Pelodiscus sinensis: one gene and its partner. The protein of the gene in region 1 purifies or fractionates together with the protein of each later gene. This does not show direct contact. Links are inferred from orthologs where the notes say so. Each region holds a gene or a part of one and is shown on either strand. Other genes may lie near its edges. The genes, in order: RRM1 and RRM2B.

Region 1 (15,091 bases):
ATTAGCCTCCCTCCCAAGTTTTGCTGCTATTTTTGTTTTTTGGTCCCAGTCCAGTCATTTCCTTTTTTTTTCCTCAACAAGTTTTGCTGCTATTGGGGGTGGGGAGGGAGGGCGTGAGGGTTTCTCAAAAATCCAAAAGGGGGCATGAAGCCGAAAAGAAGTTTGGGAACCACTGCTCTAGATGCATGCAGAGCAGATAAAACCTCAGATATTTATTAAGGCTTGGAAGGCCAGGATTTTAATTAGTAAATGTTGGTAAGCGTCAATTTCACCATACAGGCACAAATTGATTAAACAAGTTACAAATAGGTAAAGTCTGAAAAATACTGCTTGAAAATTTAGTAGAACTTGACTGCAGGATAGCTACTTTGTATACTTTGACGTGTTGTTGACAATTTGTATTCAACTATAAAGCTGTAACTTTTGAATCTCAATATCTATTATCATTAAATAGCTACCACCCTCCCCCCATTGTTTGATGACCACATAGTTTTCATATTTAAATGGATAAAAAAGCTGAACCCCATAGTGTTGTCTGTCTGCTAAAATTAAACGGATAAACATAAAAACGCTTAAAATTTAAACATTAAAACTGTATTTAAAAAAATCAAATTCTGCCAAAGTCTAGTTATTATGGTCTTGTACAGTAAAGTCTCTGGAACTCATTTTATTTGAGGGTTGAGCCACAGTGCCAGGATTTCAAACAGTGACCTCACAGAACATGGGTGTTTCAAAGCCAAGTTTTAACCCTTTTAGCTATTGTCTTCTCTAGCCTATGGGTAGCCCAGGGTTTGCCTGCGTTATACTTACAGCACTTCCCACAGAAATGAATGCCCTGGAAGAATAATCACTGCATCACTAGTAGGGGATGAAGGTGCTGCATTATGCTCATTGTGAGACAGGACATGTAAGGATATCTCAAGGGAGGGGGAGGGGAAACACTGATAATGCAGAACATGGAAAAGGGATTGATTCTGTTTTCAGTACAAGTAGGACCTCTGCCCCCTCCGAGTTAAAGTCTCCAGGGGAGGCAAGGAGCCAGCAGAGTACTGCAGGTTCAGCAGCATCTCCACCCGCTGGGAAAAGCCACAGGCCAGGAGTAGCAACAACAGTGTTGGGTGTGACACACGGTTCCGCCAACCTCGCAATCTGAAAGAGCTTATGACTCGTTAACTTTCAGTCTCTTGCTCAAAAATGTGGTGGGACTCTAGTGCTGGTGAAAAGTGCCAGCCTGGCAGCCTCTGGAGAGAAACAGCCTTTTCTCATCCACAGCTTCTCCAGTACCATCCCTGCCTGGGCAGAAGCAGTGAGGAGGTAGCTTTAGTCTTCAGCAGAGCAATTGGTGGTTTCTATCATGTAAATGCCTGAATGTTTGGGACTGGATTGAGACCATCACCTCCTTTTGACAAAACCAATTATCAGACAATAACTACCATTGGAACAGGACTATGAAGGGTGATATAGCCATGAAAGGCTCTGGATCTTATCAAATCTCTGGCTCCTGCCAGTCACTCATCTCTCTGCTCTTGTTTTTATCTCTCTTCCACACCACACTTTGCAGTGAATATCAATATCTGATCTCTCCTATGCCCCTGCTTCCCTACCACAAGCAACCCCCTGCCCCTTTACTGCCAAAGCTAGAACACCATGAACATTTCTCTCTGTGCCTGCTGGGCATACATACATTTCAGAAGCATTTCAGGAGCTCTGCAGAAATCTCACACAGTTCTGTCTCTGGACACTGCAGTTTCCAACCTTTTTTTAGTGGAGCAAAATCCTGAAGAGCAGGGTGTCCATATCATCCAAGTCTAGTCCCAGCACCTATGGTTGGGAGACTGTAAAATGTAGAAAAAGGAACACATCAGAATACAACTAATAAAACATAAATAAGTTTCCTCTGAAAAACATGTTCATCCAAAAGCCCCCGGCACAGAATCTCCCATTCAGCTGTGCATCTTAATTACTTTTCTGCCTCCCATTTTGCTGGCATACATACACCACCTTCTCTGTAGTGTAAGGACAACCTAAACAGAGTCCAGGAGAAAAAAAGGAAGCGGGCCATGCAAACTTGTTTTGTGGGAGGGAAATGAAGCAAGAGAGAGACCTGCCTTAGGCTACTGTAGTAACTTCCACTTGGTAGCATCTTTCATAGCAGGGTTACAATTACATGTCTGCCCAAAGGCCAAACCCTTGTGAGAAGAGCCATTGAAGTCTGGTGAGTAAAGCAAGCAGGATTTGATTGGCTCTCCCACTCCCAAAGTAGCTGTAGCCTGATTCCTCAGCACTCTGTGCCCTATGTAGTCATTTCTTCTCGTGAAAAATGCTGCCAAATGAATGGTAGAATTTTACACCCATTTTGCACATGTATAAGGGCCACTGATTTCCACAGCAAAACTTGATCATTCTAAACAGTCCCATTGCAGGTTCTTAAGTGTTTTGCTAACAGAACTGGATATAAATATGTGCTTTCCTGGATCAGGGACTAAATAAATAAGCTGTAGAGAATCAGGAACCTACACTTCCTTCCTTCTTCTTACTGGCCAAGGCTTGAATGTTTATAAAACGGTATAGTAAAATAGAATTTCCAGTGAGATCTGTCAGAAGTGAGGGCATGAAGGCTCTGTATATCTTCTGGTCATGTTGCATATGTTCTGTTTGTTGGAAGAAATACATTCTTACTATTGATCTCCATTCTAGACCACCTCCCCCGTGGTCATTATCCAAATCCCTTGAGTTCAAGTGAGAATGGAGCGCTACAGAAAGAGCCTGATTTCAATTGTTCACATGGCCAGACTGTATCTGAAGGGTTGGCAAGTAGAAAGAGCCTGTTGAGACTGAACCAGAGGTGAAAGCAAGGGGGTGCGCAGCTTTGGCAAGAGCTGGCTGAGCTGTGGCAAAAGCCAACAGGGAGCTATTGAAAGAGCTGGCAGGGATCCGGGTTGCAATAGGACAGGATCTGTAAGAAATTTTAAGTTACTTTCACCGCTGGACTGAACACATTTCACTCTGGAAATCAGTAAGTGAATAACTATGGTGTCTGCTCATACAGAGGCTCTCTCTTGCCTGTAGCTGTCCTACCAAGGAAGGGGTAACACGACATTTCCAGTAAGCCGGCTCTTTGTTGCTTAATTTCCTTCCAAAATCATCTCAGAGAGTGCAGCTTTTCAAACGTTTATCTTTCTGATCTACCCGCAGTCACACCCCATTAGGAGAAGTCTGGTTTCCTCTGTCACAGTTTAACCCACCGGGTGCTTGTCAAATTCTAGTAAAATAAATCAGTCTTGCCCATGGCTGTAAGACACTCAAAGAAGGCCCAATAAAACAACAGGGAGGAAGATCAGTGAACATAGCACGGGCTCCAGCTGAACCAGCCTGTTCTCCCCTCCGCAAACCTTTCTGACACATACTATTTTATAGCACTGCAGACTATGGGACCTGATCTGCTCTGGTTTTGAATTAATTCCAAGAAATTCCCTCTTTGCATGCTTGATGCTAGGGCACTCCAGACTTGCAACCTTGTGCAGCCTTTCTTAGTGACTCTCACAAACTCAGCAGGGTTCCCGTTAAATGGGAGACCTGAGAAGAGTATCCCAGTGCTAGGTAATCAGTAGTGAGCCATTTGTGCTCAGAGTCACTGTTGAACTGATGCCCCAATGCACAGCGAAGGAAAACAAATTTTTTTGGAAGAAATGACTGAGGTTCCAACATTAACGCTCCTGGGCAATGTTTGTTAGAACCGTGGTGATAGTCCCACTATCCCTGCCAAATTATAACTTAGATTACATTCTGCTTGCCTAATTTTCCCTGCATTAGGGCATTCTCAGCCTCCGAAGCAGCTGCTGCTTCCCCCCCCCAGAGGTGGCTGCCTTTCAAAGGCAGAAGAAGTGATTTCTGTACAGAATTAGTAAAAAGCATGTTGTCTTCTGGAGGTACGGTGCGGCATAAGGCAAATATTATGTATTGGGCCAATCCCTGCTATTGTGAGTGGGGTGTAACTCTGTGACCTTACATTCAGAATAAATACCGGTGGGACCTCCCTGGTCCAGCACCCTTGGGACTTCAGCACTCCCGAACCAGGAGTTTGTCAGACCAGGGGAGGTCAAAGTTCTCCTGCTGGCCCTACTCTCAGGCTCCCTCCGGCTGTGGGGCTCCCCAGGTTGGGGCTCCCCATCCTGCCACTGGCTGTGCCAGGGCTCCCCACCCTGCTGCCAGAGCCACTGTCACCAGGGGTTCTCAGTCAGCCCTGCTGCTGCCAGGCTCCCAGGCCATCACCAAGCTAGCTGTCACTGGCCCAGCTGGGGCTCCCCAGCCACCACGGGACTCCCAGCTGGCTCCCGCTCCCAGTCTGCAGGGCTCTTTGGTCCAGCAATATCCATGCTCATGCCAGACTATAGGTGTTGGCGGACCAGAGTGCCGGATTTGAGAGGTTAAACCTGCATAAAGAAGCCATTGTAAACAGATAACCAAAACAGTTCAGCAGCTTCCACCTCAAACACTGGCCCTTGTCTCCAGCCAAAACAAAGCCACCATAGCAAATCAAAATGCAGCTGCAAAAATCTTTCTCCCATGCTGCTGCTTCTGCATGAAAGGAGCACACTGTGAAAAACTGTAAAGCAACCACATTGTCCTCTTCTAAATCTCTTATTAAAACCAACCAACACTGGAGTGTCTACTAACTGCTTAGTAATGGGCTGCTGAAGCTCTGTGACTGCTGCTAAGTATGTAGTCCTTATACATAATCATAACAGCCTCATTAATTGCATGAGCCCCCTCCAGCTGTTGGTTTATTTTAAACTGTCCATCTTATTATTAGATCTATTCTACACTTCAGATGTACACTGACATATCTACATTGCTCAGGGAGCTGAAAAATCTGCACACCTGCATAATGCAGCTATGTAGGTATTCAGGCCTATTGCCAGGTATAGACACAGCTAGGTGCTGCCCTCGCTCAGGTGCTAGCAATGGAAAGAAAACCCTTATATCACTGTCGGCTGTGTCTACACTACAGGTGGGCAAACCAGGTTGTATGTGTGGCAAGACATTTTGTTTACTAAACTTAAAATACAACAAATGGTCTGGTGGCACTTTATAGACTAACAAAACATGTAGATGGGATCATGAGCTTTCGTGGGCACAGCCCATTTCTTCAGATGACTGGAGTTTGTTTACTGTGACTGCTGGTTTTCGCCCATGTAGTTTTTTTTCTACCAGTACAGGGGGACCTCCCTAGTCCAGCACCCTCAGGACCTGAGTGGTCCAAACTACTGTACAGGGTTTGCCAGACCAGGGGAGCTCAGGGCTCCCTACCTAGCTGTAGGCTCTGCTACCGGCAGGAGCTGCACTCCCTGCTTGGTCCTGCTGCCTCCAGCCCCTACTGAGGTTGCACACCCCCACCATGCCACTCTGACTTGGGCTGGGCTCCCCACTGCGCCGGCCCCGCTGAGGCTGCACTCCCCCCTGCCAGCCTAGCCCAGCATAGGCATCGCATGAAAAGCCAGCTGGGGAAGGCAAGCCTCAGCCCTGCCCCCTTCAGACCACTCCCAGCTTGATCCTTCTGGGCCATGTGGAGAGCCACAGCTGCCATGCTGCAGCTCCGGCCCGGCTCTCCTTGGTGGGCAGGGAAAGCCGGGCTGCGTCTCCTGACGGTGGCCCCAGCCTTATTTTGGGAAGGCTCTGCCTTCCATTGCCTACATTACTGATCGCCCATGCGGCCCAGGCTGCGCTGCTGAACCTGGCCAGCAAGGGCTCTCTGGTCCAGCAATATCCATAGTCCTGCCGGACGATGGATGTTACTGGTTCAGAGTCCCGGATTTTAGAGATTCAACTCAAGTGACACGCATGTAAAGCAAGGGCACATGAAGTGAGGTGCATTCTGATTTCACACAATATTGACCGTGAGAGCCGTGTGCTCCCTCTGCCTATCACAGTGCCACTACAGTTCAATTGGTACATCCTACAAATTCTAGGAATGAAAGTTCAATTAGCAAAACTACCCTATGTTGGCTACAACAATCTTGCAGCCCACTGAGATGGAGGGCCACTTCATGCAGCCCACTCACTAGCCTAGGTCCCCCATCACTGATCTACACCATGAGGTTATGTCAACATAGCTGCAGCCTGTACCTCTGCTTTTATAGTCCTTATACTATAGACATGGCCTTATATAATAAAGGATAATTTGTTTGTTATATGCATGCACAACACCTAATATCCAGGGTTGCTCATACTTGATCAGTGGCAGACAGAGGCAGATCACTTCAACAGGTACTAGCCTAATACAAATGATGAATAATAATACAGGTAGTATCTTTCTGGGAAAGTGGATGGTAGAAAAAATAGTCTAATGATGCCATCTACTGGGGAAGTGGGAAATTGCTTTATGCTGGATACATTTACAGATTCAAAATAGGACAAAATAAAAAACTGAGCTATTTTTGCTCTGTCGCCGGTTCCCCCAGGTGGACACTTTAGTCCCAGACAAGAGCGACTTTATTCCAGAATAATTATGCACTTTGGAAACAATTATTTGGGAGTAATTACTCTGGAATTAAACCACTTGTGTTCAAGAACAGAATGTCCACATGGGCGGGGAGGATTATTCCAGATGACCTCAATCAGAGTGGAAGGATGACTAAGGCTGTCATGTGAAGTCAGTTTCCTTCCATAGACAAGTCTGGGCAGGGAGGGGGAATACTTTGACAGCAGCATGACTAGCCGAAGCAGGGCCTCCCCTACCACTGCGCAGCCAGGTAGCCCCCAATTTCTCGGCTCCACAGCGATTTACCTCAGTACTGGAGCCCCGCCGAGTGGGGACCCACCGTGGCGCTTCAGTTTTCCTGCATGAGGAGTCCTTCGCCCAAGGGAGCGGGCACTAACCCAGCCCCACCTTTGGGCTGTTCAAACGGCTTGAGAGCTGAGGGCCTGGCCCAAGGGGAGAGATGTCCCCCATGTGACCCCCCCATGTAGGATTCTCCCTCTTCCACTGCGTGTTCCCCCAACATGAAGGCGTCTCCCCTTTCCCATCCCCATGTGTCCCCCCACGAAGGAGTCTCCCCTTCCCCTCCCCCCATGTCCCCCCCACGAAGGAGTCTCCCCTTCCCCTATGTCCCTCCCACGAAGGAGTCTCCCCTTCCCCTATGTCCCTCCCACGAAGGAGTCTCCCCCTCATGTCCCCCCCACGAAGGAGTCTCCCCTTCCCCTCCCCCTCATGTCCCCCCCACGAAGGAGTCTCCCCTTCCCCTCCCCCTCATGTCCCCCCCACGAAGGAGTCTCCCCTTCCCCTCCCCCCCATGTCCCCCCCACGAAGGAGTCTCCCCCCCATGTCCCCCCCACGAAGGAGTCTCCCCTTCCCCTTCCCCCATGTCCCCCCCACGAAGGAGTCTCCCCTTCCCCTCCCCCTCATGTCCCCCCCACGAAGGAGTCTCCCCTTCCCCTCCCCCCATGTCCCCCCCACGAAGGAGTCTCCCCTTCCCCCCCCACGAAGGAGTCTCCCCCCACATGGCAGCCCCGCCCCGCCCCAGGCGGGAAGCAGCCCGCTCCCCCCACAGCCGGTCATCGGAAGGGCGGGGGAGGCGGGATCTCGGCCGCCATCTTGGACCCGGGCAAGCCGCCCTTGCCCCCCGTGGTTCCCTTTGCCCCTGTGCCGCGTAGCCGGGGAGCAGGGCGAGGAGGGAGGGGCGAGCTGCCGGGCAAGCACCAGGGAGGCGATGGGGTCCCGGGCCCGGGCAGAAGAGCCCGCGGCGGGTCGGGGCCGCTGCCCGCACTCAAGATGGCGGCCGCGGCGTGGGGAGGGGGCGGGGCGGTACGGCGGCGCGGCGGGGTCAGGCCGGCGCTTGGCGGGCGCGGGAAGCTCGTAGGCCGCGTCTGGAGCTCCCGGAGCGTTGAGCGCGAGCGCCCGGCCCCAGCCGCCGCCATGCACGTCATCAAGCGAGGTGAGAGCCCCCCCACTCGGGGGCAGGGGCAGCAGCCCCGGCTCCCTACTGGGGGGGGCGCTCAGCGGGTCCGACCCCCCCCCCTCGGGGCTGCCCCTGCTGAGCGAGTTCCCCGCGCGTCTCCTCTCTGCGGGGGGAGGACCCCGCCTGGGGGGACCCCTACCCACAGTGCCATTCCCGCCCCTCCGCCTGGGGGGGCCAGCTGGCACTGCGCCCCCGGGTGCATGCCCCCCCCCCCCCGCCCTGCCTTGGCACAGGGCTGCAAAATCCCCTTTCACGGGTTCATCGGTTAACCAATGAACGGATCAGGCTGGAACCGGCCCGTTAACCTGTTAACCCGGTTAGGGTTAACCACCGGCTGCAGGCTCCGGTTAACCGGTAAGGATGCTGGTAAGGGATATGCTCCCGGTTAACCTGTTAACCCGGTTAGGGTTAACCACCGGCTGCAGGCTCCGGTTAACCGGTAAGGATGCTGGTAAGGGATACGCTCCCGGTTAACCTGTTAACCCGGTTAGGGTTAACCGCCGGCTGCAGGCTCCGGTTAACCGGTAAGGATGCTGGTAAGGGATATGCTCCCGGTTAACCTGTAACGTCCCTGCTTTGTATTCCTGCTACTTCCATAGCTGGCACCACGCTCCCCTGGAGGACCGGACCCCTGTCGCCTCCGACTCACCGCCCGGAGCATTTCGATCCCCACCGATCCCCGGTTTCTGGAATGGGGATCCCCACAGGCGGCATGAATATTCCCCTCTGGCTGGATTCTTCTGGTGCTGCTCACAGAGCGGCGGAGCAGAGTCCCTGGAGTGCTGGGGAGGGCACAGAGATACCTTGACAGCCATAGGTGGCCCCCCCAAAGGCCCCTCTCAAAGGGTCCCCCCCAAAGGCCCCTCTCAAAGGGTCCCCCCAAAGACCCCTCTCAAAGACACTCCCCCCCAAAGACCCCCTTCAAAGACTCCTGCTACATGTGGCTGTCTGTGTAATTCATGCTGCTCTCTATAAAGGCCTGACTCTCTGTCTCTCCTTTCCTCCCCCAACACCTGGTAGATGGGCGCCATGAGCGCGTCATGTTTGACAAGATCACTTCTCGGATCCAGAAGCTCTGCTATGGACTCAATGCCGACTTCGTTGATCCTGTGAGTTGTTTTGTACCCTCTCCACTTTCCCCCAGTCCTCCGTGGTGACCATTTGTGATCAGGTGCCTCTCAGTTATTTCCCCTTCATTCTAAAGGGAGGTGTTTGTATTCCCCATACCCCTATTGTGAACTCTTGGCAACTGCTGCTTTTTTAATGGTAACCATTGTGTTTTTCTTTTCTGTGTACAGTAGAACCTTTGTTGTGAACACCTAAGGAATGTTTGTAACTTTGGACAAAATGTTATGGTTGTTCTTTAGAAAGTTTACAACTGATTATTGAATACAGCTTTCAGACTTTAATAAGCAGAAGAAAAAAAATCCATTTTCCTTTTTTAAAAAAAATAGTTTACATTTAACACAGAACTGTACTGTATTTATTTGCTTTTTTTGAGGGAAGGGGGAGGAGGGGCATAGGGGAGCTGTCTCTGCTGCTGCCTGATTACATACTTCTGGCTCCAAGTGACACATGTGGTTGATTGTTCAGTTTGCAACTACTGTAACTTGATTCTTTAAAAAAACAATGAGTGGTCCTGTGGCACCTTAGAGACTAACAAAAATGTATAGGGTTACGAGCTTTTGTGAGTAAAACCCACTTCATCAGATGAGTTGGAGTGGAAATAACAGAATCAAAGATATAAATATATAAAAACAGCAAAAGCAGTTACCTGTCAATTGTAGGATCTGTGTTAATGATGCTAATTAAATGGGCTGGATGTGTCCCCTTCATAGCATTTGATGTGAAAATGTGAATGTCAAAGGTGGGGAAATTGGCTCTATAGTGCATTAACCAGTTAATATCGTTATTCAAGCCCAGGTTAACAGTGCCATATTTGTGAATGATGCTGTCATGGCTCCTTCCCCACTCTGGCACGATAAATGCAGAATTGGCGGCCAGCAAAAGTACTCCAAAATCTTATCTACCAGGCTTTGGTATAAAATCCCCCCCCCCCCCCCCCAAATCTTAACAACTTAGATGTCGGGGATAAATTCTCTGCTGCCACCACCCAAATATTAATAAAGCAACCAAGGAGAGACTACTTGGGATATCTCACCCCTAAAGTACAAACCAGGACACAAAAATTAACTAATACCAGGTTAATAAAAAGAAACGAGAGAGAACTTATATTATCACCACAATATTTCTGTTGCAAGTATAATGATTAGATGGAATAGTAACAATATAATATACTCACGGAGGAGAAATTTACCATGGGCCAGGAACTTAGTTACAAAGGAGAGCAAAACCCATTTTTAAATGCACAGACCTGATCTCATTTCCCAAACCATAAAACAATAAAATCTAACGGATTTATCTAAACTTTATCCTACTTACAGACTGTGAAGAGTATTTTCTTAGAGGGAGACATCCTGTCCCCTTCAATAGCTGGGGAGAAAACTCCCAGAGACAAAGGAGGGAAACCCAAAAATTCCTTTGTCCCAGTTTGAAATTCCTACCTACATTTCTATTGGCTAACTCTACCTGAGTTAGGTATAGTTAATCCCTTAGTCCCCAGGCTGCTGGCTAACCTCATGATCGTGATAGATGCTTAGAATGCTATCAGTGCAATAGAAATATGTAGTATATTTCTCAGCCCTGGGTCTCAAATAGCTTTACAAAGAGGCAGTAGAATCATTATCCCTGTTTTACAGTTGGGGAAAGTGATGCCCAGAGAGGTGTAGCAAAGCAAGGAATCTGATCTAGGTCTCTGAATCCCTAGTGTAACATCCTGGTGACTGGGCTAATAATCAGGGCTCGACAATTAAGGCAATCTACTCGCCCGTGGTGAGTAGATTTTAGCCCGGCGCGGTCTGTGCATGCGCAGCGTGTGGTTCCGTGCAGCTGGCGAGTGGGGCTCACCGCCGCTTAGCAAGCCTTGCTAATAATAATAAAGTTAGTTTTACATGACAGACCATTATTGTTTCTATTGCTTCAATGCTTGAGTTGCATTTATGGGCCAGGATGCCTTAGTGCTAGGTGCTGTACAAACAGGACAAAAACTGTCCCTGTCCCATAGAGCTTGCAATTTAAGACCAGTGTTTGAAAATGACAGTCTGACATACCCAGTTGCATGTGAATGTTTCAAATGCATGTCAAAATTGCCATATTAGATAAGACCCAAGATCCTCTTGGTTCAGTACCCAGTTTCTGACAGTGACCAGTACCAGTTGGCTTAGAGGAAGGTGCAGGAAACACCCTAATGGGTAGATGTGAGAGATTGGTTTAAGCCCTGAAACATGAGGTTTTTATTTCAGATGTAACAAGTAAGCATCACTGTTACCAGCTGGAGCAGCCCCCACCCATAGCACTGTGCAGCGGGCCCAGCCCAAGCAGCTCATGGCGAGGCGGTACCAACTAGGCTGTGGGATCCTGGTTAAGCATTATATTTAACTGATTAAATGGGATTTTACATTCCTAGTTTTAATATCCCTTTCCAAACTCTCTTAGCATTAACTATTTGTAATTTAACAAATTAGATGCTTGATCAGGCATGTGAAAAGTCAATGCTGTTTGGAGTTTGAAAATTCCTGAGCAAGTTCTGGATTGGATGTGGCATTTCAGCTTTTGCACTACCGCTTCAACAGGGCACATTAACATTTAGCAAGTTAACTGCATACAAAAACTTGTGCCTGATTGGATAATTCCTGATGAGTCATTTCTGTACTACTCCCTGTTCCCTTTCTCCAAACTATCACTAAGGTTGTAACATTAAAGCCTGGTGCTTTCCCTCCATCAAGGCAGCTCAGTCTAAATCACTTTATCATCTGCTGGTTAAAGTGAGAACAATGAGAAGTCCTGTGGCACCTTATGCTCCAATAAATCTATTAGTCTATAAGGTGCCACAGGACTTCTGTTCTTGCAGATTCAGACTAACACGGCTACCCCTTTGATACTTGTTTAAAGTGAAACACTTATTGTAATAACTTTTCTTGCAAAGAGAAAATATGATGCCAGGTGTTGGGAAAATGTGGTTCGACTAGGCTGTTGCTGTTGAGGATGGTGTTGTCACGGTAACATAGGTAGTTAACCTGCTGAATTCGGCTTTCCCCAGGCTCAGATCACCATGAAGGTAATCCAGGGTCTATACAGTGGTGTCACCACAGTGGAGCTGGATACACTGGCTGCTGAGACAGCTGCAACCCTCACTACCAAACACCCCGACTATGCCATCCTAGCCGCAAGGATTGCGGTCTCCAACTTGCACAAAGAAACCAAGAAAGTGTTCAGTGGTGAGTGTGTCTATGGGCATTTGTGCTCCGCTGTTAAGGAGGGAGCCAGCATGGGGCTTGGAGCCTTACGAAACAGAACTGTGGTAATCTTGTTCCTAAACAGGAGCAATTAAGTATCGAGCCCATGTATCTGAGGCATTCAGTTCTTTCGACTTCGCCACAAAGGCTTGGCATGCTGTGCAAACTCTGAGAGCCTGTGTATGTAGTTTTGCACGTATTATAGAGAAAGCTTAGTTATCTTTCTTGTTAGAAGTGTTCCTATAAATAGTTTCTACTGGAGCATTTCACAGTTAAAATATGGATGTCCTAACTTTCTCTTTCATTCCTACAATAGAAATAGTTATGTGAGGATGACAAAGTAACTTGAAAGTTCATTCTCTTTAGCCTAGACCCATCTAGGTAGTCAACTTTATAGGGACTAGGTTTATCTGGCATCTGACTGACTTCTACTAGATACGTTGTATTCCTAGAATTTCTTTCATAAAAGCAAATTATTTTGGGGTATAAGTTCTGAGTAATAGATATTCTCTGGGATTGGACAGGTAGGAGAACAACCAGACCTGTATTTTTGAAGACACTCGATGTGGGCTAGATTTTGGGAGAAGTGGAGTAGTCCAGGCATGTTAAATTTGTGTAATTATAGTTTTCAGACCTGGTAAATAAGTCTTGTAAATTACTTTCCCTTGACTCTTTTTTTTCCATTTCCTTTGTAGATGTCATGGAAGATTTGTACAACTATGTAAACCCTCATAATGGCAGACACTCCCCAATGATCGCCAAAGAAACGCTAGACATTGTTTTAGCCAACAAAGATGTATGTAGCACTTCATGGGATCTTAGTTTACTGGATCTTAGGAACTTATATTCAGTGATATTTTAAACTTCTAAATAAGAAAGTACACTATGTTGGTTGTCAAGACCCCCCCCCCAAAAGTCTTACTGGTGTAAACTAACACCTACTGACTGCTCTATTTTGGGGAGCTGTTTGTGACGGGACAGCAACATTTAGAATTCTGACCTCTGAAGGATATTTCTGATGTTGTTATATTAAGGACATCTATCTTGGAGTGTCTGAGGCCCATTGGTAGTGGGATAAAGAGTGGCTCTTAATAAAATTACAATCTCCTAATTTATGCTGTAGAGAACAGTCTTTCAAGGAGGGAGATGAGGTTTGATATGTGTCTTAAGTCACTCCAATTTCATATACTCATGGAGTGTTGAGGCCACAAGAATGAAAACCAGAGGCACTGAACATTTAGAGCGCTGTTGTTTTTGTAATATGAAGCTGTGTGGATCTGATGTTAGGGGTAGATGGTCTCCTCAGTCTAAGCGCTTAACCTGTCTCTGAATTGTTTCATCCCCAGCGCCTGAACTCTTCCATCATCTACGATAGAGATTTCTCCTACAACTACTTCGGTTTTAAGGTAATAACCAGATCTCTTGTGAGAGTGTTAAGGCTTTGAAAAGAAGAAAACCCCAAATCATAGTTTTGTTGTTGCAGAAATTAAAAAGACAGTGGTCAGACTGTGGTAAGGAAAAGATTGCCAGAAAACTGGCCAAACTGAAGAAGTCATGTGCTCTTTTCTCTCTTGATTTCTCAGCCTTTCTTTGTGTGTGGTGCTTGAGGGGTACACCACTATTTTCTGAAACTCTTGCTACACCATTTTTATCTATCACGAGCTATTTTTGATAGACGAATATATAGGAGTGTAGTAGCTCTGGGACTCCAGCCTAACTGTCTGTAGAATTTCCTAGAGTGGGACTGCAGCCACTTTTAAAAGGCCAGGGCAAAGACGTAACACTTGGGCTGTAAGTTTCTTGCACCAGATTCTGCTTTGCACATGCCCGTCTTCAAGGAGTAATCTAATCCAAACGCATTAGTTTGTCTTATCCCAGATCTAAACTGCCCTCTCTCTGTTGAGCCTAAGCTGCATGGTTATCCCCTGCATGTCCTCCCATTCATCTGTGTGCCACCTTTCATGCGGCTGCAGAGACCCTGCCTCTCTTTTCTTCTCTATGTTCATCCTTAAAACATTTCTTCAGGGAGCCATTTAGGGTCCATCCCTGTGAGAAGCCCACTGAATTCCCTAGGAGCAGAGGGTGCTTGGCACATCATGGAATTGGACACTAAACCCTAGCTCTGCTCTCCTTGTAGCTCTAACAAAATCAGCTCCCCAATTCAGAACTGGGCAGGGGAGAAAATGCCCATCCCCAGCACAGGGATCCTTGTGATATCCCCCTCCTGCCAGCTCTGTGGACTTAAGGAAAGAAACTTCAGGAAGGAACCAGCCAGAGACTCAGGTTGGCAGAGCAGCAGTATAAGCAGGGACATGGATGATGGTGTCAGAAATTTCTACACTTCTGATTAGACGTTCTGTCCCCTTGCTGATTGCTGTTTGTTCCGCCCTCCTTCCACATCCTCCCCAGTGTCTTCCCCCTCAGCCTGTCTCCAGACCTTCCCCTCTTACCTTCCTCCTCTTCCTTCGCTTGTTTTTCCATTTACTTTATCACTGCTTAGCTAACCCATTTCAACCCTCCCACTCCCAACATTGTGGGACTCATCTGATTGTATTGTCTGCTCTCTTTCTGTTTTATCCATTTCCTCTATCCTTGTTTATTGGATTATAAACTCCGGTGCATCAACTATCTGCAGTGTGTTTCTTCAGTGCTCAGCACAATGAGGCCCTGATCTTGGTTAGTCCTTAGACAAGCATAATTAATGGTTAAGGGTATTAGGACATACATCGAGGGGGAAGAATGCTCTCTTCTCCCCACTCCCAGTCTCTACTGAAACCA
Region 2 (15,074 bases), on another chromosome or scaffold:
AGCACCTTACATTTGCCTTTCTTGAATTTCATTTTGTTGTTTATAGCAGTTTTCCAATCAAGATACTTCTGAATTTTAGCTCTATCCTCAAAAGTATTGGCAACCCCACAACTTTGTGTCATCTGCAAACTTCATCAGCATGTTCTCTCTACCTATATCCACATCATTAATACAGATGTTCAACAATTGACCCAAAACAGTTCCCTGTGAACCCTACCTGAATCACTTAAATCTCTGTTCTTTACTTTTAAACTCATTCTTGTTTTAGTACAATATCAGTGAAAGTAAAGTGTGAGTCTTCAGCTCAACTAACAGGCTAGTGTGTACGCTGTCTCTTTGGAGGCAAAGAACTTAATAATTTGTGACCATCGCAGTGAGACATTTCTAGGGTTCACTGACCATTAATTGCATGGTTTAGATCAGCAGAGTCTCAAGGAACTTGCTGGTGAAGTGGACCGACTGGAATGGCAGGAAGCTGACAGTCTAATCTCCAACAAGGATCACTCTTGCTGGACCAGAGATCATACAGTGGCTTACGGTTCTGGGTGTTCTGATCAGAACATCACACTCACCTCTTCTACTGTCCAGAATGAAGCTTGTGCCTTTTTATACATTTTCCACAAATCCGGGTATTGCAGTGGGAAGATGACAAATCGACGAGGATTTTTTCTGAGAAGAGGTTCTTCATTTGATTTAAAGTCATTTTCAATTGCACATGAAGAGAAACCCTTAAGAAAAAGCATGTTATATCAGAAGATTATTCTCCAATTGTAACTCCACCACTTAGCTTAATTATTTTAAAAAGTAAGATAAAAAAAATCCTTAGAATGAAACCACTGAGACATGCACATGCCTGAACCAAGTAACTGAAGGATCCTCTCCTGTAACTCTTGCTCTTCCGTCTGCCATCCCTACTATTTACTGCCATTGCTTGTTCTTTCTGCCCAGCTCTACCTAGAATAATTTTGGGTGCAGTAAATTAATAACAGTACCAGACGTTTCTCTCATTCTAGAGGCAGCAAGAAGGGGGAGGGGTCTTGCGTGAAACTATGAAGGTTAACCAATGAGCCCCGGTCCATCAGTTAATCATTTACATGAATGCATCACATCCCTATTGTGTACCTTCCACTACTCTGATTTCATCTTAGCTGGATGTCATCCTTCTGTTTAAATCTGTGGTATCCATCCAGTTCTGAAGCAGTAGCCAATATAGCAGCTACAGCTATAGTGAATTAGCCACATTATTCTGAAAATGTAAATAATAGAGTGGCTACTGCTATAGCCAAATAGCTACATGTGGCAAGTGGCAAGCATGTTGGAAACCATGGATTTAAATGATGATGGGCAGCCAGCAGTGCCCGTTTGATATCAGGCAGTAGTGAGTTCATACTCCCAGATTCATTCACATTACAACAGTCATACACTCTAGTGCTACAGATTTGTCTGCCTTTTTTGGAGAGCTGCACATCCAATTCTAGCTGAAAAAGAGTAATCAGAATGCAAACATCTACAAGACATCATCAGAGCAAATGACTGCAAGGAGCACCCAAGAGTTGGTTCAACTGCCACATCAAAGCAAAGGAGCTCTAACATAAGTACTTAAAGACAAAAAGGGACAACAGGACCACTAGTAATAGTTATATCACCTTGCCAATACTATGAGCATTGGATACCCAGATAGTTTGGATATTATATAAGAACCCCATATAGACAGCTATCCTGGAGCTGCTGTGGTGGAAAGCATATCCAAGAAATATTACATAGTATAAGATAATAAAGCTGTAGGAGGAATGTAAATTATTGTGTTAAATGGAGCTAGGAACCCCTTTCTGACTCCTCAACCTTTAAACTCTACCACGTCTCCACTCAAAATTAGGGATGTTAAAAAGAATTTGAGGTAAACATGTAACCGCTGACAATTTCAGCTACATCACAAGGTAACATCCTCCAGCATAAGAACAGCCTTCAGGAGCGCAAGTGCAATTGCTATTCTACCCCTCGCTATCTTCTGCCCATCCACTCCACAATTCCCCACCCTCTCAGCTTTGGCTCAGAGGGCCTATACAAGAGGGAAGTAACCTGGAAAATGATGGAAGAGATCTCAAGGCAAACCACTGAGTGGGAAAAGACATTCCAAAACTGTGGGAACAGTAATATTTTATCACCATTGACATGGAGATTAGCATCGGGACAATAAATACCCATACCACCTGGAAGGTTATGACCTGGGCACTAGGGGTATTATCTGAAAAATGCAGTCATGTTTCCAAAGGAGGAAAAAAAAGACAAAAGGTGAAATATTCATGGAAGCAGTGATTTCATCCCAGCAAATGACCAAAAGACAGAAGGGCAAAGGGAGTAGAAAAGTAGCACATGGCCCTGCAAAATTTCACAATACAGACAGAAACAGCTTTGTTGGAGCACCTTTTGTTACAAACGTCAAGCACAGGACATTACAACCCAGACTTGTAATGTCCTGTATGGTATGGGGAACACACCATAATTTCAAATTGCAAATCCTACTAACTAGGGATGTTAGATATCACATAACTGAATAGTCATGTAACTGCATGAAATCTTAGTGGTTACACGACTATTCGATAGTCCCCAGGGGCGGAGCTGGCAGCCAGTGTGCTCTTGGTACCACTCCCAGGGTGACAAGTGGAGCCAGTCCATGAGGGGAGCCAGTTTAAAAAACTAGCTCCCTGCGCATACCAGCTGTCTGCCACCCCACACTGCTGCTTCTGATGCAAAAGCAACAGCATGGAGTGGCAGTGGCCCCTGTCCATGGGAAGGGGTCTGAGTTCTCCATGGACAGAGGCTGCTGCCATGAAGCCGCCTCTGCTTATGGCAGGCCAAGGCTTGCCACAGACAGAGACTCGGGCCCACCACTGACAGAGACTGCTTCATAGCAACCTCCCCTGGCCATACCCTCTGACAGAGGCAGCAGTACAGAGGGAAGAGGGCAGGAGACACTGCAGAGCCAGTGCTGAGGAGGACTGACTTTTAAGCTAGCTCCCCCCCAGCACCAGCTCCTGCTTGGCAAAAGCAAAGATATTTACTCTCTTGATTAAATGCGATAACAAAGCAGTCTTACATTTCCAGAGGGCCAAACTGGACAGTCTCTAGGAAAATAATTAATGGACACAAATCTGATATCTGAAAAGGCAACACACAAAAACCTGCTGGGGAACATTTTAGCTTGCCACAGCACTCATTAATGGATCTCAAAGTTACCATATTGTTTCATGCCAATTCCACAAGCTAACTCCACAGGGAAGCCTTAAAACTTAACTTCATTTATAAGTTTGATTCCTGTCACAGAAGTATGAATAAAGATACTGGCTGGATTGTCCACTATATTCCACATCTTAATGACATAAAAAAACCAAATAATGGGTATTCAAGACCAATCAGCACCTTCTCTGTAAGCTTCATGTAGCATGGACACTAATGACTATTTCTTCCCCCCTTTTTTCCCCCGTTCTTTTTCCTTCTCTCCCCCAATCTTCTATTTATTTAGAAACTGGACCTTTAATAACTCCACTCATCTGAAGAAATGGGTTGGGCCCACGAAAGTTCATTATACCATCTACATGTTTTGTTAGTCTCTAATGTGCTGCAAAACTATTTGTTGTTTTTTAAGTACATTCTCTTTCCCCTTAGCTTTCCTTTTCTTCTCTCAGCCCTTTGGACAGAATGTCAAAGACAAACTTATCAAATATCAAAGAGATTCCTTGGATAGGTAATCTCCCTGTCTTATGTATAAGTATCTCATCATGCCAATAAGCCTACTTATGAAATTAGATACGTTTTGCATACCTTGCCTGCTCTTCCATTTCTCCAGAAATGTTAATGGTAGAACTACCTGTTGATACAGCTCCACATACCAGTGGGTTCAGTGATACTACTACAAGTGTAGACAGGACATGCTGTATCTCCTAGATCTGCTCTATGATTCTTGGACTTTGAAAGTATTTGCCTGTCCACTACAATATCATGCCTCCCCACCCCAAAAGATTCTTATAGATAATTTTTCTTCTAAAGCGTCCTCTGTATTCCTCCTCAGTCAATTCAGGATTAGGGATATAAGCAACTTGCCGATTAGGAACCATCTTTTAAACTGGCTCCCCTCAGCACCATCTCTACAGGGAGTCAGGGGAGGCAGAGGTGCAGCAGAGAACCCATGCTAGCGGGTACCAAAGCTGTCTCACTGGCGCAGGGTCCCCACTGTTACTCTTGTACATTTCAAAGGCAGAGGCACAGCAGAGCGCCCCCCCTTAGCAACTAATCGAGTAGACGAGGACTACTCAATTAGCTGATTAACTGACATTTAACATTCCTATTCAGGATTATAATTCTATCTTTGGAAAAAGCTTCCTGTTTTTCCCAAACCATATGAAGTTATGTAAATATGTATAAGCACAATAGTTGCCTCATGAGAGCCTATTTTTTAATTTTATTTTCCAACAAAAAAAAATGATCTGCCCTTTCCGGAGGCTGCCCTCCCATTAGTCTCTCTGTATGTCCATGTTGTTGCATAGTACTATTCCTGGCTGAAGATTGTCAGTCACACACGCCTATTTTTTTTTTAAGATACTGAGAATCTATCATTTCTGTACTGTAACTCATTCCCAGTCCAGTCAAGAGTATAGAAGAAATACTCTGCAATCCCCTCTTTCCTTCTCTAGGAGAATCAAGTGAATTTGATTAGATCAAGTGAACAGAAAACTACGTGGGAAGGTCTGAAGGTAGCCAAGCATAAACCAAGTAACTAGCAATGCTTGGGACATGACAAGGATCACAGCCCCCAGGCGCTGCAGGGAGCGAGGGGATCCCAGCACTATGCGGGGGTGGGGAGGGAGGGGAGGAAAGGCAACGCGCAGCCCAGCTAGGGGGTCCCAGCTGGGCTCGGGGAGGGGTAGGAAACCCGGTGGGGGAACAGGGCAGAGGGGCGGGCAGCAAGGAGGCTAGAAGGGCCCCCCCCCCGCCTTCTGGTTCCCACGGCCCAGCTGTTCTTCGCCACCGCACCAGGATCGCGTGGCCCCGGGAACTGGGGCTTCACAGAGCCGAGGAGCCCCTCCCCCCCCCCGCACCTGAGCACCCGCGACAGTCGCTGACCCGTTAGCCCCAGCGGCCTCCGCTCCTCACACACGCTGGGAAGAGACCGCGGCGAGCACCTGCCGCGCCGCCCTCCCGCGCTAGGCCCGACCCCACCGCTCAGGGGTCACGCGCCCGAGCCTCCTCCCCAGGCCGCTAGCGGCCACAGGCAGCGCGAGCCAGCGGGGCCCGCCCCCGCAGCACTTACCCGCCCCGGCATAGCGACCTCCTGCGGCGGAGCGCGAGCGGGCCGCTCGCTCATGGCGCGCGCGCGGCAGCGCCACTAGCCGGCAGCACGCGCTCACTCAGCGCTGCGTCGCCCCTGGGACGTTACAAACGGCGCGGGTGGTCTGCGGCTACGGAGCATGCGCGTTCCGACTGCGCGTGCTCGGTGACCTCGGCTGAAGCCGCTGCCCGACCCGGGCTGCCCGCGGGGGCGGGGCCGCGGCGTGAAGGCGGGAGCTACGGTGGCGGCAAATATCGGGCGCGGGGTTCCGCGCAGCCTCACTGCCCGTGGGCAAGGAGCGGCCAGGGGAGTCCGCGATGTATTTTACACCCGCGCGCTCTCCTGCCTGAGCCGGCTGCGCTGTTGAGCTGGACTTGGCCTAGCGGGGACCCCTGGCTGCAGCGGCGGCAGGTTTGTATCATTTTTGGTGGTGCCCCGTTAGCCACACCCCTCCCCCCCCCCTTAGCCAGGCCTCTGGAGGTAACATGCTCAGGGCAAGATGGACACCGGACCAGAAGTAAAAGGTGTCATGTGACCCCACTCGAAGGGCTTTTCCCACCATCCTCCTACACACAGGGATTAGTTTGCCCCTCCCCCAACCCCTCCCCCCCCCCCCATGCAACTATCCTGCAGTTGCATTAACCCAATGTGTGTGACATTAACTCGGGGGCAGAGCGCTGGGGGACGTGTTCCCTCTAAGGCTGTGTCTACACTCACAGCTTCTTGTGCAAGACCCCACAGAGCAGCCACACTGCCCGCCTGCTCTTGTGCAAGGAAATGTACAGTACGGCGTGGTAAGAGAAGGCGTCTTGCGCAAGAGCTACGCTCTTTCCTAACAGGTGTAAGCTCTCTTGCACAAGAGGGCAGTGTGGATGCTCAGCGGGGATTTCTTGTGCCAGAAAACAGGGTTACTTACCTATAACTGTTGTTCTTCAAGAAGTGTTGCTTATGTCCATTCAAACGAGGTGCATGCGCACCACGTGCACGGTTCCTGGAGCATTTTTTCTCCAGTGGTACCCGTCGGGGCAGCAGGTCGCCCCCTGGAGTGGCGCCACTATAGCAGAGCATAAGGTACCCCTGCTAGCCCTCCCCCTCCTCAGTTCCTTCTTGCCGGAAACTCTGACGCGGGGGCGGGGGGGGGGAATCAAATGGACATGAGCAACACATCTTGAAGAACAACAGTTACAGGTAATTAACCCTGTTTTCTTCTTCGAGTGATTGCTCATGTCCATTCAAACGAGGTGACTACCAAGCTACCCCTTCCTCGGAGGCTGGGTCAGAGTCACCCTGCTGAACACCCACACCGACATTCATTGACAACAAGAACTTTAATGCAGAACTATAACAGAACTCAACACGAAACTCGACAGAGAGATGCAGCAGGTGCATGACACGCTGTGTGCCACTCAACCACCCCCCTTTGCTTTGTTTACAGGAAAGAACCCAACACAGCCGCACCCACGGCAGAGTCCTCCCGCACCTGCTGGGTGAGAGCATAGTGCTCTGTAAACGTATGGGCCAAGGACCACAGAGCTGCCCTACAGATCTCAAGGATTGGAACGTGGGCCCCAAAGGCTACGGATGAGGCGTGTCCCCTGGTGGAATGCGCCGACACACGAGGCGGCTCCCTAGGCGCCAGAGCATAACACTCCCTAATGCAGGATGATATCCACCCCGACAGCCTCTGGGCTGAAACCAGCATCCCTTTCACCCAATCAGCATAGGCAATAAACAACTGAGAAGTCTTGTGAAACGGCTTGGTTCTGTCTATATAAAACGCCAGTGCCCTTTTCACGGCAAGGGAGTGCAAAGCCCGCTCCCTAGGGGAGCTGTGGTGCTTGGGAAAGAAAAACCGGGCGGTATATGTCTTGTGACGTATGAAAGGCCGACGCCACCTTGGGTGGGGATGCAGACGAACTGTGTCTGCGAACACTAAGTATGGGGGCTCCACGTCAGGGCACGCAGTTCAGAAACCCGATGTGCTGACATAATGGCGACTATAAAAGCCACCTTTAGCGACAGAAACCTAAGAGAGCAGGATGCCAGGGGTTCGAAGGGGGGACCCAGAGCTTATTTAGCACCAGGTTGTGGGCCCAGTGCAGCATCAGGGCCCTTACATGGGGAATCAGTTTATCCAAGCCCTTCAGGAACCTCTTCACCAGGGAGTCAGTGAACAGAGACCCGTCCCCTGATCCCTCGTGAAACACCATTAGGGATGCCAAATGCACCCTCACTGACGGAGCGGACAGGCCCGCCTGTTGCAGCCCAAGTAGTTAATCCAAAATCAGGAGGACAGGAGCCAAAATCAGGAGGACAGGAGGGGCAAACACCCTTACCCTGAGCCCAGGCTGAGAAACTTCCATTTGGCGGCATATGATCGCCTGGTGGCCGGCTTCCGACTGCCTAGGAGGATCTCTTGCACCCCCCTAGAACAGACCCTCTCGGGGGACTTCAGCCATGGATAAGCCATGCCGTCAGGTGGAGGGACTGTACATCCGGGTGGTACAGGATGCCCTCTTCCCCCCCGCCCCCACTCCTCCGTCCTGAGTAACTAGGTCCGGAGTCAGCAGCAGACGACAAGGGCGGGCCACCACCATTTCCCACAGGATGGGATACCAAAACTGCCTGGGCCAATCTGGGGCTATCAGGATCACCCGAGACCTTGGTCCTGGTAAGCACCCTGGGAACTAGCGGGAATGGGGGAAACATGTAAAGCAAGCCTAGAGGTCAGGGCGTCCCCTCTCGAGCCCTCTCCCAGGCCCAGAGGGGAAAAGTAATGGGGACATTTCATGTTCCCCTCGGTAGCAAAAAGATCCAGTAGGGGACGACCCCACATCCAGAAGAGGTGCGCCACCACCTCCCACTTCAAGCACCACTCGTGGACTCTGAAGGACCTGCTCAGTGAGTCTGCTAACGTATTCACGCACCCCGGCAAGTATGCCGCCTGTAACTGGATGCGGTGGACTATGCAGGATTCCCACAGGAGAGCCGCCTCCTGACACAGCGGGGATGATCGGACTCCCCCCTGCTTGTTTATGTAGAAAACAGACGCGGTATTGTCCAGCAGCACAGACACCGGTTTCCCCGAGAGCACAGTCAGGAAGACTTTGTGGGCCCTCCTGACTGCCCTCAATTCCCGGACATTTATATGCAACCCCCTCTCCTGGGGGGTCCACAACCCCTGTGTCCTGCGGCACTGCAAGTGTGCCCCCCAACCATTGTCAGAAGCACCCGTGATGAGTTGGGCCGATGGCAGTTCTGCACGGTAGGGGACTCCTGAACACACCTTGCTCTCCAATGTCCGCCAACTGAGCGAGGCGAGGACTCCCTCCGGCACTGTAAGGATCCAGTCTCAACTGTCTCTGGCCTGGTTGAACGACCCCACCAACCACGCCTGCAGCGGCCTGAGCCTCAGTCTGGTGTGCCTGACAACATAGGTGCAGGCTGCCATATGGCCCAGCAGTCTCATGCACGACCGTGCCGTCGTCAGCGGCGACTGCCGCAGGGCAGACACCAGGGTCTTTATGGCCTGGAACCTGGATAGTGGGAGGTAAGTGCACCCTGTCTTGGCAGACAGGGCTGCCCCCATGAACTCTATGTTCTGGGTAGGGGTAAGTTTCGACTTTTCCTCGTTCACTGCAAGACTCAGTCTGTCGAAAAGGGACTGTACCAACCCTATCTGCGAGAGGACCTGTTTTTTTGAGCAGCCTCTGAAAAGCCAGTCGTCCAAATATGGAAAAACCTGGACTACCATCTGCCTGAGATAGGCTGCCACCACCGCCAGACACTTCGTAAACACCCTGGGGGCCGTCGACAGCCCAAAGGGGAGGACTGTAAACTGGAAGTGTTGGTAGGATACCACAAACTGGAGGAACCTCCTGTGGTTCGCCCGAATTGACACATGAAAGTAGGCGTCCTTTAAAATCGAAGGCCGCATTCCAATCACCCTTGTCCAGTACTGGAATAATTGAGGCCAGGGTTACCATCCAGAACTTTTCCCTTTTTATGTGCATGTTGAGGGCCCTGAGGTCTAGGATGGGCCGAAGCCCTGCCTTTGGCTTTGGGATAATAAAATAATGGGAATAGTATCCCCTGCCCTCCTGATGGGGAGGGACCCTTTCCACCGCCCCTTTCTCTAGGAGAGTGAGGACCTCCTGCTCTAGGAGGGCCTCGTGAGATGGGTCCCCAAAGAGGGACGTGGAAGGGAGAAGGGAAGAGTAAGGGCCCAGGAAGGGAATAGAGTAGCCCTGAGACACAATGTCCAGCACCCACTTGTCTGAGGTGACAACCAACCAGGCCTAGGCAAAGTGGGACAGCCTGTCTCCAAAAGGGGGGGAGATAATGGCCATCAGTATGCGGTCCCCTAGCGCACCCTCAAAACTGCTGCTTGGGAAGAGAGGGAGGGGGCTGAGTGGGGCCCCTGCCTGCCTCCTGTCACGGCCGGCGGCGCCTGTGGCGAGCCCCCAGACCCTGCCCCTGGGTAAAACCCCCGGACGGACCACGTGGTCTACTCTGCCAATAGTCAGGCCGTGCGGCTTGTGGAGGGCCCCTATGTGGCTGCTGATACGGTAACAGCCTACGTTGGGGGGCCGGGGTGTGGATACCCAATGACTGAAGAGTCGACCTGGTATCCTTTAGGCTAAGAAGCCTGGAGTCAGTATTCTCTGCCAACAGGGCTTTCCTGTCGAACGGCAGGTCCTGGATTGTGGTCTGTAAGTCTAACGGGATCCCCGAGACCTGCAGGCAGATGCTGCACCTCATTACCATGCCCGACTCCATCGTCCTGGCCGCAGAGTCGACAGCATCCAGAGATGCCTGCAGGGCAGTGCGAGCAATCATTCTGCCCTTTGTGGCCAGGGCGGAGAACTCCTGTCTGTCCTCCGGGGGCAATCTGTCACAGAACCGGTCCATCACTAGCCAGGTGTTCTAGGCGTAGCGACTGAGCATGGCCTGCTGGTTGGCAATACGCAGCTGCACCCCCCCTGTCGCGTAAACCTTGCGCCCCATCAGATCCAAACACGTAGGTTCTTTAGCCTTAGGGGATGGGCCCGGCTGCCCCTGCCCCTCCTGGGCAGCTGCCTGGGCCACCATAGATTCCAGTACGGGATGCGAATAGAGGTGCTCATGCCCCGACTGGGGGACACAGTACCTCCTCTCGAGCCCTTTGAGCATCGGGGAGATAGAGGCCGGCATCTGCCACAGCGTACTGGTGATCTTTGCCACCTTCTTATTGAGTGGCAGTGCTAACTTCGCCGGAGCATCATCTGTCCACCATCGGATCTGACTCCTCGGTCACAGGCTCCACCGTGTTACCAGATTTGCCCAATACCTTGGGGTATGCTCATTTATCAGGGTTACCCTTATGGGACTGGGGGAAGGTTGACAGTTCTATCAGTGTGCTGTTGGTGCTTACTTGGGCTCTCATATGGAGCTGAATTCTCCCTGCTGCCAATTCCCCCTCCCACTGGAGCTCTCCTGCAGGAACTAGGTTCCTCAGGATGGGGTTCTTCCCACCTTAGCAACACACACAGACACTCACACCCACTAATCAAAGCACGTCTGAGAGGACTGGGTACTCAGCACTCACAAGCTGACCCCCTCATATGTCCCTGGACTCAGCTGGCTGGGTTTCACAGCAATGCCACACTGCACCCTCATGTGCCTTTGGACTCCGTGGGCTGGATTAAACAGCACTTTAAGCTGCCATCCTCATAAGCCCCCAGGTTCAGCACCCCTTATCCCCACTTTCACACCACAGTCATTCACAGGTAAACCACACGATGAGCAAACCCCACAGGATTTTGGGCACTCCAGGGATCTTTTGCTTGGGTACAAGAAGCGTTGTTGCAGAGCGAATGGGGAAGCCAAAACAACACCCCTTAAGGAAGAGTGAGCAAAAGAGAAAGAAAGAGAGAGAAGCAACCAGCTTAACAATGAAAGTGATTTATTTCTGAGTAGTGAATAGATATCAAACAGTTACAATATTAAATCTAACAATTACAATATTAAATCTAAATTGAAGCTGCTTACAAATGTTAGGTAACCATATAACAGTTTACACAGGGCAGGGTCAGGAGGCTATGCTTAGAGAGATAGGAGAGAGAGAGAGAGAGAGAGAGAGAGACCTCACCACTCCACGGAGCTTGCACTGATCGGGGTTCCCAGATGATGATGGTAGCCGGGGGTCCAGAGGGCAGGAGAAAAGCAGGACAGAGCCCCCAGCACGATCAGACAGGAGATGAAGAAGTCTCAATGGAACTGATGCAGTTTAAGTCCAGGTATCAGAACAGTTTTCTTGGGGCAAGGATAGGAGTTTTATAGAGATAGTTCAAAGAGAAAGAGGAGAGACAATAGAGACTGATCACCCCTGGTTATGGGTGATGTTCCTTGAACGAGCTCACAATGCAACTTGGCAGTTTCAGTATTTTAGATGTCAATAGGGTCGTTACTAGAATTGGTCTGATAATGACTAATTTGGGTGTGAGCAGGCTTAGGTTCATTAGCATCTGGAGCAGGGATTTCCCATCAGGCAGTGCTTCTCTGCTTTCGGTGTCCCATAGTTCAGTGCGGTTCCTGCCTTGGAAGAGCTGCTCTCCATTCTGTATGCTAATGAGATGTCCCTCTGTTCCATCTTTAATGTAAATGAGGCTGGGGTGTTTCCTTAATTGTATCACCCTTGTCTGAAGCAGTTTAGGTGTGTCTTCCCTGGCCTTTTCTTTGCTTTGTCTTTGATTCTAGCAGAGGCCTGAGGGAGGGGAATGGTTTTCCATGAGTGTCACTCCCTGACTCCCCAAGAGCACAAGGCTGACAGGTGACCATGTTCTGGTTCCCCAATAATCACAGAGCTGGTGGGTAACAAGTGGGACCCCAAGATTTGTGGCCAGCCGGCACAGCAGCTCTTGGTGGGATCTAGCATCCATGGCTGGCATAGCCAGGGCCGGGTCAGCCAGGGCCTCATCAGGGGACAATGAAGATGTCAACTCGTGACTCAGGACCGGCTGCTCCACCACACCCTGGATGGGGGCTGGTTGTTGCGGCCTCCCGGGCTGCTGTTGGGCCCCTGCCCTCGGGTCACCGGGGTCCAGGTGGCCCCTGGGGCTAGCCCCTTTAGGTGAGGGTGGGGCTCTGGAAAGGGAGGCCAAGGGCGCGGACCTCTGCCGCGAGCCACTGACAGACCCCGAAGGGAGGAGTGATCCCTGCTACTGGTGATAAGCCCAGGGTGTCCAAAAGGGCCAGGGCTGTTGGACCTGCGGCAGCCATGTCTACTCAAATCCCTGTGGTGCCATTGGGTGCCGGGAATGGGATCGGTACTGGGACGACAACCGCAAAGATCCCACAGAACGCAGGAACTCTGCCTCGGACTCCGAAGACAGTTCGGACGCCGACCATGGCAGTGCCAACGAAGGCTGACCCTGTACCGCTCCCGGGCAGAACCTCGTCATCAACTCCGGCTTCCCTGCGTGGGGACGGAGCTGCAGGGGACGGAGCTGCGGGTGTGGCGGCAGTGGCACCGGGCCACACGCTGCTTGCGGTGCCAGTAGAGCCGGAGCCTGTGGTGCCTACAGGTACGGTGCCGGCGGCACCTGCAACATCGGAAGGGCTTGCGGTGCCGGCACGGGCAGAGCCAACAAGGCTGGTACTTGGGGCCACAGGGTGCATGGGTGCCGGCAGTGAAGCCTCCCAGATCGGCTGGGCAGGAGACTGCGGCACAGTCTGCCCTCGTACCACTGTGGCCGGCAGCGATAGACGGTCCCTCGACTCTACCGGTGCCGGCCGGAGCTCCGAGGCCCGGGAGACCAACAACCATTACCGTCACGTAAAAAAACTGAGGAGGGGGAGAGCCGGCAGGGTACTTATGCTCCGCTATAGCAGTGCCACTCCAGGGGGCAACCTGCCAGCCCGACGGGTGCCACTGGGGAAAAAATGCTCCAGGAACTGTGCACGCAGCGCGCATGCACCTCATTTGAATGGACATGAGCAATCACTCGAAGAAGAAACCCCTATGACTAAAATGGCCATCGGAGCTTTCTTGGGCTAGAGAGTGTCCACACTGCCATGGATGCTTTTGTACAAAAGCACAGCTCGCACATGGCAGTGTGGACGTGTTCCTGCACAAGAAACCGCCAGTGTAGACACAGGCTAAGAGTTTCCTCCCATAAGCAAAATGAATTTTGTGTTGTGCACCAGTACTGAGTTCATGTGGCTTGTTTGGATGTGCCACTGTGGCACCCAAGTTATTAATAAATATCTTATAAACCTCTACCTTTTCCCTCTGCTGCCATGTCTCCCCTTGCTTCATCAGCTCCCCTGGTGCCTGCTGCCCCCAACCTCCCACCCTCCTCTGCTGTCCTGACTCCTGCCTTTCTCACTGCTGTCAGCCTTCCTGAGACCTGCCCCCCCCACTCGCCCTTCTCTCTCCCCGTGCCCACTCCTCCAGTAGCCCCACTCTGATCGTGTGAGCGACCCCTCCTCATCCCCTCTCCTAACACCTCCCTCTACACACCTGCCTTGCCCCTCTCCTCTGGTACTGGTCCCTCCCCTGAAGGTGTCTGCCCTTCTGCTTCACCCCCAGAATCCCCTGGCACCTGCGCCTTCTCTTACTCCTGCACCCTCTTGGTGCCTCCCCCTTCCCTCACTGCCACTACCCCCTTTGCCCTCTTTTTCCCTGATGCCCATCCCCTCACCACCCTCTGCCCCCATTCCCCTCATGCCCCTGTGCCCTTACACATGACTTGCTCCATCCCGGCCTTCCTCATGCCCACCCCTTCTTTCAAGCCTTCTCCCAGCACCTCCACCGCCAGCCCCCAACGCCCTTATCCTCTCCCCTCCCAGCATCACCCTGTCCCTCTCCCACTGACACCTCCCCTCCTGCCTTTTTCCTCATTGTCTGCACTTGGTCCCCTGGCATTTCTCTCTACTCTACCCTGTCCCTTTGGTGCCTTCCCCTTTCTTCCCCCTCTCCCCTCCTCCTCCGCACAAGCCCCTTCGTCTCCCAGCCCTTCCCCTAGTTTCCTCCCTTCTCCTCCCCCTCTGCCCAAGCCCCTTCCTCTCTCAGCCCTCCCCCTCCCCTACCTTCTGCCTTCCATTTTGCGGGGCCGGAGTCTGTGCTCCATCCCCAGACTCTGAACCCACAACTCAGCTGCATGGCGCAACGCAGCACCCAGCAGTTTTAAAATCCCTGGCCGTGACGTTATGGCATGCCCGGGCATCTCCCTGCCTACCGGTTTGAGCACACCGCGCATGGCAGCAATAGCCAGCAAGGGGGAGCTCAGTGAAGGTTGCACATGGTCAGGACCAGGGCCGGGGGAGAGACGCTCTGGGGCCAGGGTGGGAGGATGCGCAGGGGGGCCGGGGCCCACTCCAGCTCCAAATATTGGTGGAGCCTGGGCACCACAAGCCCATACAACTCGCCGCCCATGCTTGGTTGTCTTGATCTTGGAAGACAGAGAGAAACCTGTGGGGAACAGCCTCACTGCCAGAGACAGGGAGCTGGATGCTGCAGCATCATTGGAAATAAGGGCTTTGAAAGGGCCTCCTCTGCCAGGCCTGCTGTTGCCCAAGTGCTCCTTCACTGCCAAATATTTCTACTCAGTGCCCAGTTATCACAAGGCTCTCTACTTATTTCCCAAACATTTGATCTTCATTTAGAATTTCTTGGCTTGCACACGGTGTAGTTTTTAATATCATCTTTGCCTTGTAGCAGACATACAGTAACTGTTAGGTCTTCTCCACCCCAGCTGTATCGCAG

The links.
Region 2: the proteins of RRM1 (region 1) and RRM2B purify together in Homo sapiens (affinity purification with western blotting; 3 studies listed by BioGRID and IntAct, counting the BioPlex papers as one, with this or other methods). This does not show direct contact. The link is inferred for Pelodiscus sinensis from reciprocal best matches to the Homo sapiens genes RRM1 and RRM2B.

Annotation. Positions count from the first base shown.
Region 1 is NC_134711.1:326,122,820-326,137,910, forward strand, and holds the start of RRM1 (ribonucleoside-diphosphate reductase large subunit), read left to right. Parts: upstream 1-7,779; 5' UTR 7,780-7,915; coding exon 7,916-7,934; intron 7,935-8,292; exon of another isoform or gene 8,293-8,312; intron 8,313-8,978; coding exon 8,979-9,067; intron 9,068-12,117; coding exon 12,118-12,295; intron 12,296-13,008; coding exon 13,009-13,109; intron 13,110-13,659; coding exon 13,660-13,719; intron 13,720-15,091. UniProt on the Homo sapiens protein: Provides the precursors necessary for DNA synthesis. Catalyzes the biosynthesis of deoxyribonucleotides from the corresponding ribonucleotides.
Region 2 is NC_134712.1:34,418,258-34,433,331, reverse strand, and holds the start of RRM2B (ribonucleoside-diphosphate reductase subunit M2 B), read right to left. Parts: upstream 5,500-15,074; 5' UTR 5,363-5,499; coding exon 5,309-5,362; intron 5,261-5,308; exon of another isoform or gene 5,097-5,260; intron 729-5,096; coding exon 573-728; intron 1-572.